Linked DNA regions of Lytechinus pictus. The protein of the gene in region 2 binds, or shares a complex with, the protein of the main gene of each other region. Links are inferred from orthologs where the notes say so. Each region holds a gene or a part of one and is shown on either strand. Other genes may lie near its edges.

Region 1 (7,538 bases), on a different chromosome or scaffold from region 2:
AAGATATTCATCACTTTCCCGGTCCTTTGTCAAATCTATCAGCTCTTTATTAAGTGCGATCCAAATCCACCTCACAAAGTACTTGAGCTGAAATTGACCCCTTTTTCAGATCAGAATGTCAAATATTTTAAGGTCGCGCTTCGCGCTCGCTTTGATTTTCAATTTCATGTTAAAATATATATTCAGAATGCCTAGATTGTAGGCCTAAATCGGAAACACGCGAGCGCATGTCTATCTAGATACTCAACTTGTTAGTATTTCAATCATTATCCAGTTTCTGAAAAACAAAATTCTGCTAGCGCTTTGTGCTCGCATTTTTTATGTAGGAAGAACCCCTATTGCTCATCCTTATTATACAAAACATGAATAGAGTGTCCCATTTTTTAGGTCTAAATCTCGATTTTTTTTCCCGCTCGCGCTTCGCGCTCGCATTAATTGTTTTATAGCGACGATCCTGTTCATGGTCACAATAATTGATTACAATTTTCCATTCTTTATGTAGAAGTGTAAAAAAAAAATTGGCTCGCGCTTGCATTATTTTATTGTTGAAATATGTAACGTCTCCATGGCTAAGTGAAATAAGCAGTCCTTAACAGGTACCTTTTTGATCAGTTCAAAACGTATACAAAAATATTATGCTCGCGCTTTGCGCGAGCATTATTAAGGTAACAAAGATCGGCAATTTGACATCCTTTCCATGATGATTTAAAAGACATGACTAGACATGTCTCGTTTTTAGGTCTAAATCTTCAAATTTTGTGCTCGCGCTTCGCATCAATTGCTAAGTTATATACCTATCCTGTTTAAGTTACAAAAAGTGCCTATGATTTCAATTCTGTTCGCGCTTTGCGTTCTTAGTGATTATTTAGTTGCATACACATCTTTTTCATGATAAACATTGCCCAGAAATTTCAAACTTTGGGGAAAAACATAATTTTTTAAAATAAATTAGCTCGCATTATATAAAAAGGGTTATGATATCATATATTTATGTTGATTTATAAGACAAAATTTAGAAGTGACAATTTCTTCATAGAAACAAATATAAATCATATTCGCGCAGCCGATTGGGGAAAAATAATGGTGAAAAAAAATTTGGCCCCCCCCCCCTTTGGCGAAAGCTGGATCCACCCCTTCATCCTATTTATTTCTCTCCTTCCGTCCATCTCTCCATTCTTCCAGGAGCTGCGGAATAGTTTTGAAAAATGTTTTTTTTTTTTTTTCTACCAATAAAATTATTAATGAAAATAATGCGGTACAAAAATCAATGTCATTCTTCTTCCTGTTTTAAACTATATACGTGTACAAAAAACGCACCACCAGCTAAAAAAACAAAAACAAAAAAACTTGGGGGTCACAACCCGAGCACCCCACTTCCCAGGGCCATATACAAGGATTCTAATTTATTAATTTTAATGAGACATCATTTGTTGAAAAAAAAATTAAAGAGACCTATTAATGACTGCATGTGGTCCTACCGGTACGCTAGATCTGCGCACAAAACTGCTTTCATATGACACGCAAAAGGGATGAATCAAAGTGGAATAAAGCAAACAGGATTTAGAAACTGCCTTCGTTGGCGTTCAATAATATGGTTGGTATGATACAAATTCTGCTAGCTTATTCGTACTATTATTTCTGGCCATTGTACTTAGATCAAAATTTTAATGTGGAAACATTTTTTATTTTTTTTTTAATGATACAAATCGAGCGAGGCAAGCACAATGATATGGGGCAGAGTTCCAAGTCTTCATGCCCCAGACTGAATATATTTTGACATCAACTTACTCTAAAAACAAGTGTTTATGTTTTATTTTGTATTATTCATTTTTTAAGTATAAGGTAAAATTATAAGTCTCGGAGTGTCAGTTAATGCTGCAAAAGATGTATAAGGCCTACTCTTTTGCAGCACTATCCAGCTACCGCGGCGAGGACGCCCTCCGAGAAGGTAGCCATATCAAAACTAAAAACAAAAAATTCCCCTTAGATTACTGGTGGATCCAAGGGGCATAATTATCGAGAGCCAAAATTGTAATTTGTAATATAAGCATGCCCTTTTTACCCAAGCATGCCCCCTTGAAAGTGAGGATATATATACATATATATGCCCTATTTTTTTGCTTGTCAATTTTTAGGGACGAAATGACTTTCAATTTTTGGTTAAAAAATATTTTGTAATGCTCATCAAATTTGCATCGGGAAAATGTGCCCTCCATAGGCCCTGTCCCCCCTAAATTTGAGGTGGGGCCATTGGCAGCGGAAATAAAAAAATTAGGGAGGGGGACCACTAAAATTTTGTGACAAGCCCCCTCCCCCAAAAAAGTTTATCAACCCAAATTTTAGGGGAGACCACATGAATTTTTTAGGGGGGTCCACTGGAATTTAGGGGGCACGCAGAAAAAAAAATTGACAAGCAAAAAAAAAGGTTATCAAAAAAAAAATTAGGGGGGGACGATCGTCCCCCCACCTCAAATTTAGGGGGGGCACGACCCCCCCCCCCCCCGCTGCCTATGGGGGATGTTGTTAGCTTTTTGGGGGGCTAAATTTTTTTTTCGGCCTCCCCCCTTTGATAACCTTTTTTTGTCAAAAATTTTGGTGCCCCCCTAAATTTGTTGACTGCCGCCGCTAATAGTGCCCCCCCCCCCCCTTTGGAAATCCTGGACCCTCCCTTAATTGCCTAGATATAGATGTTTAAATAATTAATTATTTTGAAAGTCAGAGTGCCCTCGCCCCCCCCCTCATGCTTTAGTTACCATGGCATAAAACTTATGTCATATCTAATCCTTATATCAGCAAGAGGTCAGAGCATACTATCCGTCACCAAACGACTGCATTTGAGCCATTCATTTTCCCTTTTCTCTTCTTTCTATTATTTTCTTGTTATTTAATCATTGTTTATTTGTATAAGCTCGGATCCGAGACTAACTGATACGGTGAACGCACTTTCGTTCGAGTTGTGTATTTGCGTAATAATAGACCGAGGCGAGAAAGGACACGCCCACAATCCCTCGTTCAGTGCCGAGCTCTGTGCGTACGTGTCGACCAAATTTCAAAGAGAAATTTGTACACAAATCTGTCACAATTCGGACCTAATTTCGCCTCAGATTAACAGATATTTAGATCTCTTTGGAACACTAAAAGTCATTCACTTGGGGTTTTTTAATATGCTGATTCAGGTGAGGTACTTTTCAATGGTTTTAAAACATAGATTTAAAAAATTAGATTTTCCTTTTAAGATCCCTAGTGGTAGATTATCTCCAATATCAGAGACTTTTGTATAGAATTTGGGTATCCAATTTCAGAGACAGTCTCCAGTTTTGGAGACCAATTTCCTTTTACATTTGCTGCAAAAGGATTACCTTGGCGGCAAATAAAAATGTGATAAGCAGATTCCTCATGAAAAATTACCCCTTTTCACCGTCTACTTTAAAAATTCACCGTCTACTTTTGTTTTGATAAGGATTTTTGTTGTCAATCACACACAAAACAAATGGGCTTCTGACCTCAGTGAGACAACATTTTGGGTGGAAAAAATCATGCTTTTGTTGGTGTTGTTTCTTTTGTCCTTTTGCAAAGCAAGTCTCCAATGTGGGAGATTGTCTCCCCTATTGGAGAGAGTCTCCCATATTGGCCGTGCGCCTCTACTGCTGGTACGTGTATGACAAAACACTAGATGGTGGCCTGTACTGTTTCCATAAGAAGAAGACCTTTCTCCTTCCTCTTTTTTGATTTTTCCTTTTCTCATTCTTCTCTTCGATCTCTTTTCTACATTTTTCATCTTTTCTATTTCTTTTTTCCCTTTCATTTCTTCTTTGATCTTTCCCCTATTAATCTACTTTGTTTTAATTCTGATGTATTTTGCGATTGTTTTTTTCTCTCTCTCTTGTTAAGAAAGTACCTATTTGAATTGAAATGTGCTGTTTATTTAATTAATTGTCATGACTGCTTGCAGTGAATTAATGAATTCAATAAACTTCAGGGTAAAAATATGTGTCATAATGAAATCTTGAAAATGTGTTTGATCGTTCAAAGGAAAGTTTCATGTTTACTCTTGCATGTGACACGATGCTCCTAAATCGAGTTTAAATTTTGCATAAGTTTCGATCTATATGATGAAGTTTAAGTGAAAAAAAAACCCATTTTATTTGTATGAAACTTACCAAGTATATTTTGAATGTAAACCCAAATTATGTGAATTCTATTAGTTTTCCAACCAACACTACAATAAAAAAAAAATCATATTGCAATGTGTTTTTTTATATTACAGGGCACAGGAAAGGAACTCATTCTTAATGAAAGCAAAGAGAATACAATGCTATAACACCTGCTGAGAAAGTTAGAGAAAGAGCCAGAAGAGCATTGAAGAGTGTTTTATAAGGAAGACTGGTTGACAAGTACAGACACCATGCCAACTCAGACTAATGAACCTCATATTGTTGACGTTTGGAACACAAATTTAGAGGATGTGTTCAGGAAGATTCGCATCATCATACAGAAATACAAATATGTGGCCATGGTAATTATTACTCATTTATGTGCATTCTGTGAAATATACAGTTTATACCTCATTCCCACCATCGTGTGATCTGTTACGAATGCCTTGATTGGCTTTCTGTTGCTGATCCCAAATTTTTTTGACCTTATCAGAATTTTTTAATGATCACTACAATAGTAATGACTTATCTGAAATGATAATTTCAATTATTTCACGATCAAGACCACATTTTCATTCATGATGCGAATTGTGACAGTGTGCACTAACGTTAGGTATAAATTGGCAGTTTGACTGAGTTTGAAAGGGAACTGGAAGCCTGCTTTACATGGACTCTTAATTTTGTTGTCTCACCTGCATAGCAGAGTGAGACTATAGGCGCCGCTTTTCCGACGGCGACGGCGACGGCGGGCGGCGGCGGCGGCGACGGCGGCGGCGGCGTCAACACCAAATCTTAACCTGAGGTTAAGTTTTTGAAATGACAGCATAACTTAGAAAGTATATGGACCTAGTTCATGAAACTTGGCCATAAGGTTAATCAAGTATTACTGAACATCCTGCCTGAGTTTCATGTCACATGACCAAGGTCAAAGGTCATTTAGGGTCAATGAACTTAGACCATGTTGGGGGAATCAACATCAAAATCTTAACCTAAGGTTAAGTTTTTGAAATGTCATCATAACTTAGAAAATATATGGACCTAGTTCATGAAACTTATACATAAGGTTAATCAAGTATCAATGAACATCCTGCTTGAGTTTCACATCACATGACCAAGGTCAAAGGTCATTTAGGGTCAATGAACTTTGGCCGAATTGGGGGTATCTGTTGAATTACCATCATAACTTTGAAAGTTTATGGATCTGATTCATGAAACTTGGACATAATAGTAATCAAGTATTACTGAACATCCTGTGCAAGTTTCAGGTCACATGATCAAGGTCAAAGGTCATTTAGGGTCAATGAACTTTGGCCAAATTGGGGTATTTGTTGAATTACAGCCATAAATTTGAAAGTGTGTTGGTCTAGTTCATAAAACTTGGACATAATAGTAATCAAGTATCACTGAACATCCTGTGCAAGTTTCAGGTCACATGATCAAGGTCAAAGGTCATGTTAAGGTCAAAGAACTTTGGCCACGTTGGGGGTATTTGTTGAATTGCCATCATATCTCTATAAGTGTATTGGTCTAGTTCATAAAACGTGGAAATAAGAGTAACCAAGTATCACTGAACATCTTGTGCGATTTATAGTAGTTTTCAAAATCAGCACTGCTGCTATATTGAATCGCGTGATGCAGGTGAGACGGCCAGAGGCATTCCACTTGTTTCATTTTTTATACCTCTGCCAAACATTGTGAATGGGGTGTTTGTAAGGTCATTTATAATCAGTCACTGTGTACAGTTTTCACCTGTTGCTCTCAAGACTTATTGCACACATCCGTCTTGGAGTGAAGATGTACAAGACACATTTTCCATGATAAGTGTGTGGCACTGGGTTGCCATGGTAACAGTATGTTGAAATAAAAAATCAGGGGGAAAATTCTTTTGAAGTAAGGTTGTCAATGCTCACTATAGTTAGGTACTACATTTCCACGATAAACAAATCAGGAAAATTGAATTTTCATTAAAATTATTTCTTTCAGAAGGCTCTTTTGATAGGGAAGGAGTATTAAATTAATGATATTTTTAGTATGATTTTGTTTCAATAGTATATTTGAGGCATATCAGTTAGATCAAGAATAGATCACCAGTTGTGGTTAAAGTCATGCATAACTTCATTAATACATGAAGCTTTATGAAATAGCTCCACTTATTGTAAAAATCAGGTCAAACTAGTCTATAACACATTTTAGCAAAGAATATGATAAATTGAATCTGAATTATTCATGCATAACAGAGCATCACTTGTGTGTTGCTCTTGGCTACTTAATTCATTACAATGCTTTGTTGTCAACTACATGTAGTCTCTCTATATACCAGTGATTCCCTTGTTGAAATCCTTATTTCACCAGGATACAGAGTTTCCTGGCGTTGTCGCCCGGCCACTGGGTGAGTTCCGCACCAACTCCGAATATCAGTACCAGCTGCATCGATGCAACGTAGACTTGCTCAAGATAATACAGCTAGGCATTACTTTCTGTGATGAACAGGGTAATTTTCCCAAGACGGGCTCAACGTTCCAGTTCAACTTCAGGTTTAATCTCAGGTAAACCATCATGATACGAGTCCTGTTGAGACATCATTTTGTTGATGCAAGAACTCACCAGATACTGCATGTCAATTTGTAGAATTAAAAAAAAAAAGCCCCTTACTTCTTAAAAGATAATGATGAATGTAGTTGCAGTAAACACTGATTTTATGGGAAAGTCTAAAACCGAGTTATAAAATCACTACATCATCGTAGGTGTAGATCAGGGACTTGTTGCATAAAACTTTTGCCATTAACAAAAACTCTGGCAAACAAAATTATGCCATTGCAATTTACACATTAAAAACTCTGGCAAAAAATTGCCAGAGTTTTTTTACGGCAAAAGTTTTATGCAACAGGTCCCAGGTACAGTTCCATAAACTGAACTTTGTGGAATTATGAAATCTAGGCTGAAAATCGATCACACTGAAGATCGCCAACACAGATAAGCATGTGTGGGGCAATGTATTATTAGTGCTTGTTCTTGTTTTGCTAATTGCTCTGCAGTAATACAATTCCTTTTATTCGTATAAGGACTTGGGTGGTCATTTGATTGGTTTCTGTACAAACTCATTTTGAAGTTGTTACCACAACTGGCATTTATCTTTCGCATGCCAGATGAATTCATTTTTCTATGGGATTCATGTGTAATATTCAATGCCAATTTAACCTCGGCTAAACCTTCAATACATAGTGAACAAGTTTTTTTAGGCATCACCTTGTCATTGCGAAAACCCTCTTGATACTGCACATCAAGTCATCTGTTGAAGCTTCTACAGTATCATGAAGTTTTGATAATTTTGAATGTCTTTGTAATTTATTTTGCAGTGAGGACATGTACGCTAAAGATTCAATA
Region 2 (8,252 bases):
GGAACATTATGAAATACACGTAGACAATAGGAACTTGGCAAATCAAACAATTTGACCACGCAGCGTGAGCTTAAAAATGCTGATATGTAGACTATAAAAGGGACATTTTACAGCTAGAACACTTAAATTTGTTAATGAAAAAAAATTGATGAGAGCTCGATGTCCGAGCTAAAATATATTTTGTATATTGACTTCAAAACTTGCTCCATATCAGCCTATTGAGCAAGATATGAATTTCATCGAACAGGCAATTCTGGCGCGAAGCGCAAGCAAAAGTTTGGTTTTTTTTGCAAGTCTTCCCTTCACATTATTTCATTCACTCGTCTTCCTCCTCTTATTTTCCTCTTCTTTTTTCTTCTGTTTTTCATTTTCATTTTTTGGATTTTTCCTTTTTTTTTTCTTTCTCCTTTTTTTTTTTTTGCTCTGCCAATTTTTTTCAGGGGGGAACCTGGGGGGCACACCAAATCTCAGGGGGGGGGCACGTGCCCCCAGGCCCCCCGTAGCTACGCCACTGGAAGGGAGGGAGGGAAAATGAGAGAGAAAACAATTTAGTGAGAGGGGAGAAGAAAGGAAGGGGGAAAGAGAAGGGAAAAAGGTAAAAGGGGGAGAAAGAAAACGGAAAAATATAGGGAAAGGAAACGAAAAGAAAAGGGTGGAAAAAACATACGACATCGACAACAAATTTATTTTGCTACCACATACAAAACTGCAAATTCTTTCAAATATTTTGTTGGGGACAACATTCATATGTTAGGGATCGTGCGCCCGTTGCCCCCCCCCCCCCCCCATCCATTTTAAGTAGGATGAGGCGAAGAGGTAGAAAAAAAAAACAGAATGAGAAAATAAGATGAATGACTTCTAACAAAATATTCAAAACAAAATTAAATGATCTAATGTCTTATTTGTAACTTTTGGAATTCCCCAAACTGCATAACTTTTTAAAAAATTAAACCAAGTGGAAATTAGCCGAAGTGGAAATTAGACCAAGTGCTGTTAGACCAGCTGGAAATTAGACTAAATGGTTTTAGCCCAACTGTTCATTAGACGAATTGAATATTAGACCAAGTGGGAATTAGACGAACTGGTTATAGAAGAAATGGGTTTAAAATATATTTAGACTAAGTTGGACGAACTGATAAGTAGACCAAGTGGTATTAGACCATCCGATATTTCACCCTTTGATTCGTTTATGATTAAAGTTATAATTACATTTAAAATTCATTTGAATCATGTATTCATAAATGGACTGATTATAACCATACATCCATGATGTAAGAATATATTGAGCGCGGGAGCGGAGCAGCCGCGCGAGAATTTTTAGAATGCAAAATTAGGCCAGTTTAAACACTTAGTTAGTACAGTATTTGTGATTTAAACAAAAATATCACTTCTGTCTTGAAAAGTGTGGGGATGATTGAACATGCTACCCCGAGCCCTCTCTCCGAAAAGTGGGGGGTATTTATCACCTGACATTAAGTTATGCTCTACACTTTATTCTCTCAATGCTGTTTTGAAGAGAAATACACTGTTAATATATATAATACCTAAAATCTCTGTGTGTTTCGTACCAACCGATATTACAACCCCCCCCCCGCACTTGCACTCTCGCACACTTGCACTTTCACTTTTATCAACATGATTATAACTTTCTCATTTGAATTTTTCTTTCCCTATCTACTTTTTTGTAATATTCCTATTATTTTGTGCAATAATATATAAGTCTCTTTTATTGCACTGTTTGTCTGGTTTTCCCCTTTCCCTTTGAGGCCTTTATCAATTTCAAGCTCTAAGCTTAAGATGGAGGTCTCCCACATTTCAAAATGAATTATTTATTTTTTCTGCTATTTGTTTTAATGATAATTAAAAAAAATCATCAGGTATAAATATATTCAAATTAGATTGTTTGAATTATTCAATTCAATTCAATTCAATTGAATATATATATGCATATGTTATTCATTATGTCATTTGCTTATTGTTATGTTATGCTAAGAAAAAGTGATTACACTTGTGTATATATACTTTTGTTATTGGAATGTGGAAATAAATAAATCAAATCAATCAAATCATATATCCCCAAGCCCAATTGCCTATTATACTGACCTATAATAAATACATTTCAAGGACAAGGACCCGATATGTATCTCACTGATCAGATAATGCGAGCGCGAAGCGCGAACTGAAAAGTTTTGATATATTCGGACCTAAAAAGGGGACATTTAAGGACTATCTTTTAGGAATTCATGAGAGCATACATATCTCACCATAGTCATCTAATGCGAGCGCCAAGCACTTGCTGAGTTTTGTTAGAATTACACCTAAACCAAAGACCTAAACACATGAAGCACTTTTTGTAGTCATTGTAATCATGAACATGAACATTTTTGAAAGGACTGTTTTTAGGAATTCATATAATGATCAGATCTCACCAATCCACTAATGCGAACGCAAGCACGAACTGGAAATGTTTTATATTCAGACCTTAAAAGGAGGAAATCACTTAAATAAGTCATGAAAAAGAAGAATATGTCACTATATAAAACAATAATAACTCGAAGTGCGAGGAAATATTGTGTATATTAACTAGAAAACGGGATGCTTTAGTATAAACAGTATTATAAATCTCATTAAACAGATAATGCAAGCACCAGGAATGATGAACACATAGGCCCAAAGCAAATTACGTTTCATAAAGTTATGAAGAAAAAAATCTTATGCAATATAATATAATATAATACAATACAATACAATACAATACAATACAATACAATACAATACAATACAATACAATACAATACAATATAATATAATATAATATAATATAATATAATATAATATAATATAATATAATATAATATAATATAATATAATATAATATAATATAATATGATATGATATGATATGATATGATATGATAATAATAATAATAAGACATTTATAATGCGCAAAACATATCCACCCTATTAGGGGTGCTCAATGCGCTTACAATAAACTTAACTCACTACTGGTACAACTTACAATTTGGCCATTAGATAAGTTTTCAAACTGGCCTTGAAATGTTCTACTGATCTACAGTCTTTTAGTTTAGTTGGAAGATTGTTCCATAGACGGGGAGCTGCTGATGCAAATGCACGATCTCCCCATGACCGTCTGGTTTTGGGAATAGAGAGATCAAAAGAAGTCTTAGAAGAGCGAAGACCAGAGCGACCAGGTTTGCGAAAATCAAGAAGAGATGAGATGTATTCTGGTGAAGAGAAGGTCAGCGCACGATATGCTATCAGAAGAATTTTATAGGTTATGATAATGATATGATATAATATAGATATATGGCTTTGAGAGGCATGGTTGTTTCTAGAGGCTCAAGGGGACCGCAACGCGACTATGCCCGAGGGCATGGTCTGGCCGAGTGCGGTACCCGCGAGCCGAATTGAAACAACCAACATGTCTCGAATATAAAAGCAGTCCATATATATTTTATGAACCGAATTATTAAACATAAACGTTAGGGCCTGGTCTAGGTTTAGATCTAGTAAAACTAAAACAAAAAAGCCTGCCCCTGGCCTAGGCCCAAAGCTAACGTAAGGTCTAGGCCCTTACTTAGCCCTGCCCTGAAGTTAGGTCTCAAAATCGAATATCAAAGCAGTTCCCGAGCAGTTCATACCGATAGTCCCTACTAGGCCTAGGCTAGATATTTTTAGGAACCAAATTAGGGTCTGATTCTGAATAGGGTCTAGGGCCTACAGTGCATGTAGCTAGATCTAAAGTTCAGTCTTAAAATTTAGACTAGAGTATAATCTAACGTTAGATCTAGTCGACTAAACCTACGTCCTAACGTTAGATCTAGAGTCTACTCTTAACTTCTAAGCTAACGACAATTGTCCCAGGCTAAGGTTAAGTAACGACATGAACGAGTTAAACGTTTATTGTTAGAAAGTGCAGTGACCGTCTAATCTTTTCACCTGACTCACTATTTGCGAGCATGCATTTGAGCGAACTTCCCCAAGACTTGATGATTGATATACATCCGTTATGTCCTTAATAAGCTAGTTTTATTTTCAATAAATGCCATATATTTTAACAGGAATTAACAAGCAAAAGTCAAAGATCGGCATCGTTCCATCGATATGTCATATCCGTTGCGCGCACTTGCGCAATAAGCGCGTAAATGCGCGAATTGTCTAAAACTTTCGATCAAATCGCGCGGATATTTATGGTATCCGTAATCACCGCAGAAAGCAACATTTTGCATGCAATCAAATGGGGATTTCAGCCAAATTTTGCTATGCCCGTCGTTAAGGGGCGGATCAGGGGGCAACGGGCAGTATTCTTGTTAACTATGCCCGTTGCCCTTGGTTACCACCTTAGTTTGTTGTTTTGAAGGCATGGTCGTTTACATGACCTCCGTTTTGACCAATCAGAGGAACGGATTATTCGACATTGAGGTTTATAAAAAATAATATAATATAAATTTCTTCTTTCCCCACTATACGTTTCTCTTTTTCTCCCCCCCCCGTTTTTTTTTTTGGGGGGCAGCCGATTGTTGGGGGGGGGGTCCCCCATGTAGTTACGCCACTGATTTGAACTGAACTCTAATCAATTCAAATTATACATCTCTAACTATGACTCAGCCCTTTACTGACATTACTGCCACTCTGCTGCACGTTGAGATCATGTAGATGAGTAAACCGAAACCATTGAGTGATTGTGACCGATTAACGAAACGCGAACCGAACCGAACAGAAAGACGTATTCGTAGGCCTAATTTAAAACTATTATTGGTATTATTTTTATATGTTGAATTAATCATTTGAATAGTCACTTAATTGCAATTTATTAAAAATTAAGCTTAATTTAATTTAAAGCTTAAAATTCATGTCTTATAAAATATAACATAAGCTTGATGTCAAAATGTTTACGAGTATTTCAAATTGGCAACTTCTTTGACCTGAAACAGCAATATGGCACCGGAAAAGGTGTCCTAGATATCGTCAAAAACCACCAAATATTTTACCGAACAAAATTACTGATCGGAATTTTCACTTGCTTATAGTTTTCTACAGTATCTACGGGATCAGCGGGGGGACATTTCAGCCCACTTGATGATCTACAACTTGAAAGAATGAAATAATGAATCTGGATTCCCTGTCGCTGGCCTTTTCTCAGATTACCAATCTTGTGGCCAATCTCAACAAAAAGAATTACAAGCAAAGTGTCGGGGAAATCTCTCGCGTAAGTAAAGTAACGTTTATAGATGTCGTTGGTTGAGTAAAAAAAAATTATGTAATTTTTGTTTGTCTTAAAAATATTCATGAAGTTAGAACGCTTCAGGATTAATTTTGGTCTTCATTTGGATTTTAAAATGACAACAAAAAAATTCATTTTTCATGACACTGTCAGCTGGTCAGTGTCACTGATCATGGATTCATTAATATCGCGACGCTCAGAACAGAGACAGAGGCGGATTGCGTTTTGGGATCGAAAAGGGGGCAAGCAAGCTTGCTCCGCGCACTCGAGACTGCGGTGCGCGGAGCTACATGTAGCTTGCTTGCCCCCGGCCCCCTTTTCAATCCCATACAAAAGAATCAATGCAAGGATCCGATGACCGGGCCGGGGTAATAATATATCTGTAAAGCGCTTAGAGACGTCGTTCCGATGTGTTAAGCGCTATATAAATGCGGAATATTATTATTGCGGTTCTGATTAGCCATAAATCTATTCATCAATTTGATTTAGGATGATGACAAAGTACCGACTACCGGTAAGTGTTGAAAACAACATAATAAAAAAAAGAATCAAGTTGACTGTCGACTGCCATATCTTCATTTGCAATTCCTCATTTGCTATGACTGCAGAGTGTAAAAAAATAGGATGAAAACCAATTTATTTACTCTGGCCAATGTACATGTAAATCATCGTTCTGAATTCTGAGTTCTGACCATCACCCGGGGCCGAAGGCCGAAAGAATGAAACAAGAACAGGTCTGATTTTGCTTTGGCATGCATTGACATTGTTGTTTCATTTATAATTATACGGCGCATATCATTCAGCAGTGATTATTTGCGCTAGCATAATTTGCATGTTTTAGAAGAAGAGTAGTCTCAGCCAGGCATTTGGAGAATTAATCGTTTGCTAATGTGAGAATATCTCTTCTAATTTTAGACTCCTGGCGCTTGTTTGTAATCGATCAAAGAGCGCAGGTCACAAAAAATACTGTTCTACATAAGCATGACAAGGCCTAAGAATTTCCCGCCAGCAGATGAAAAAATGAAACTTGTAAAATTATATTAATTCTGCCTGCTTTAAAGGTCAAGTCCACCCCAGAAAAATGTAGATTTGAATAAATAGAGAAAAATCAAACTAGCATAACGCTGAAAATTTCATCAAAATCGGATGTAAAATAAGAAAGTTATGACATTTTAAAGTTTCGCTTATTTTTCACAAAACAGTGATAAGTATGCACAACTTAGTGACATGCAAATGAGACAGTCAATGATGTCCATCACTCGCTATTTCTTTTGTTTTTGTCTCACCTGCATAGCAGAGTGAGACTATAGGCGCCGCTTTTCCGACGGCGGCGGCGGCGTCAACACCAAATCTTAACCTGAGGTTAAGTTTTTGAAATGAAAGCATAACTTAGAAAGTATATGGACCTAGTTCATGAAACTTGGCCATAAGGTTAATCAAGTATTACTGAACATCCTCCCTGAGTTTCATGTCACATGACCAAGGTCAAAGGTCATTTAGGGTCAATGAACTTAGACCATGTTGGGGGAATCAACATCAAAATCTTAACCTAAGGTTAAGTTTTTGAAATGTCATCATAACTTAGAAAATGTATGGACCTAGTTCATGAAACTTATACATAGGGTTAATCAAGTATCACTGAACATCCTGCATGAGTTTCACATCACATGACCAAGGTCAAAGGTCATTTAGGGTCAATGAACTTTGGCCGAATTGGGGGTATCTGTTGAATTACCATCATAACTTTGAAAGTTTATGGATCTGATTCATGAAACTTGGACATAATAGTAATCAAGTATTACTGAACATCCTGTGCAAGTTTCAGGTCACATGATCAAGGTCAAAGGTCATTTAGGGCCAATGAACTTTGGCCAAATTGGGGTATTTGTTGAATTACAGCCATAAATTTGAAAGTGTGTTGGTCTAGTTCATAAAACTTGGACATAATAGTAATCAAGTATCACTGAATATCCTGTGCGAGTTTCAGGTCACATGATCAAGGTCAAAGGTCATGTAAGGTCAAAGAACTTTGGCCACGTTGGGGGTATTTGTTGAATTGCCATCATATCTCTGTAAGTGTATTGGTCTAGTTCATAAAACGTGGAAATAAGAGTAACCAAGTATCACTGAACATCTTGTGCGAGTTATAGTAGTTTTCAAAATCAGCACTGCTGCTATATTGAATCGCGTGATGCAGGTGAGACGGCCAGAGGCATTCCACTTGTTTATTGTTTGAATTATACAATATTTCATTTTTTACAGGTTTGACAATAGGGACTAATTCGACTGAATCATATAGTTTTAAGCAATGCTAGTTCCAACTGTTCATGGTGGAATCAAGCGTTGTTTCACTTGACAATGAGGAGAAAATTAGAATATTTAATGTAATAGAATACAAAAGAAATAGTGAGTGGATGATGTCATCAGTCTCCTCATTTGCATACCGACCAGGATGTGTGTATAACTGTTTTGTGAAAATTAAGCGAAACCTTAAAATGTCATAACTTTCTTATTTTAGGTTCGATTTTGATGAAGTTTTCAGTGTTTTGGATTTTTCTCTTTTTATTCAAATCAACTTTTTATTGAGGTGGACTTGTCCTTTAAGTTAACAAAATGATATCAAAATCTGACTTTCCTTTGCAAAATGCTAGACCTTTTAGGAACCGAAAGAAAATTTTGCCAATGGTTACACCGCCATCTTGGCTATCATGGAAAGCACATGCTCAATGTCAAAGGGCCAATCACTCAGTAGGACACTCATATCACTGCATGCTTGGTTTCAATTGTTTATATCATTTCTTTTCAAAAAGTTTGATACAGCATCAGATTTCTTGGAATTTATTCCAGATATCTTTGTCACCCACACCAAAGTTGTTGAGGATGGTTTAATAGACAAAACTGGAAATTAGAGAATGGAATCCACTGCTCACGATCAAGAAAGAATATTTAGACAACTGCTTAAAGCACTAATGCTGTTGCACCTTGGTGTATAATGCAAATAATGATTT

Evidence for each region. Proteins that work in one complex are often made in the same cells at the same time.
Region 1: CCR4-NOT transcription complex subunit 1-like (region 2) and CCR4-NOT transcription complex subunit 7-like share a complex: the UniProt entries of both Caenorhabditis elegans proteins name them as parts of the CCR4-NOT complex. The link is inferred for Lytechinus pictus from reciprocal best matches to the Caenorhabditis elegans genes let-711 and ccf-1.

The regions. Positions count from the first base shown.
Region 1 is NW_026974140.1:8,844,811-8,852,348, reverse strand, and holds the start of CCR4-NOT transcription complex subunit 7-like, read left to right. Parts: upstream 1-4,265; 5' UTR 4,266-4,405; coding exon 4,406-4,516; intron 4,517-6,506; coding exon 6,507-6,700; intron 6,701-7,510; coding exon 7,511-7,538. UniProt on the Caenorhabditis elegans protein: Catalytic component of the CCR4-NOT complex which is one of the major cellular mRNA deadenylases and is linked to various cellular processes including bulk mRNA degradation, miRNA-mediated repression, translational repression during translational initiation and general transcription regulation.
Region 2 is NC_087246.1:27,747,170-27,755,421, forward strand, and holds the start of CCR4-NOT transcription complex subunit 1-like, read left to right. Parts: upstream 1-4,936; 5' UTR 4,937-5,127; coding exon 5,128-5,229; intron 5,230-8,252. UniProt on the Caenorhabditis elegans protein: Scaffolding component of the CCR4-NOT complex which is one of the major cellular mRNA deadenylases and is linked to various cellular processes including bulk mRNA degradation, miRNA-mediated repression, translational repression during translational initiation and general transcription regulation.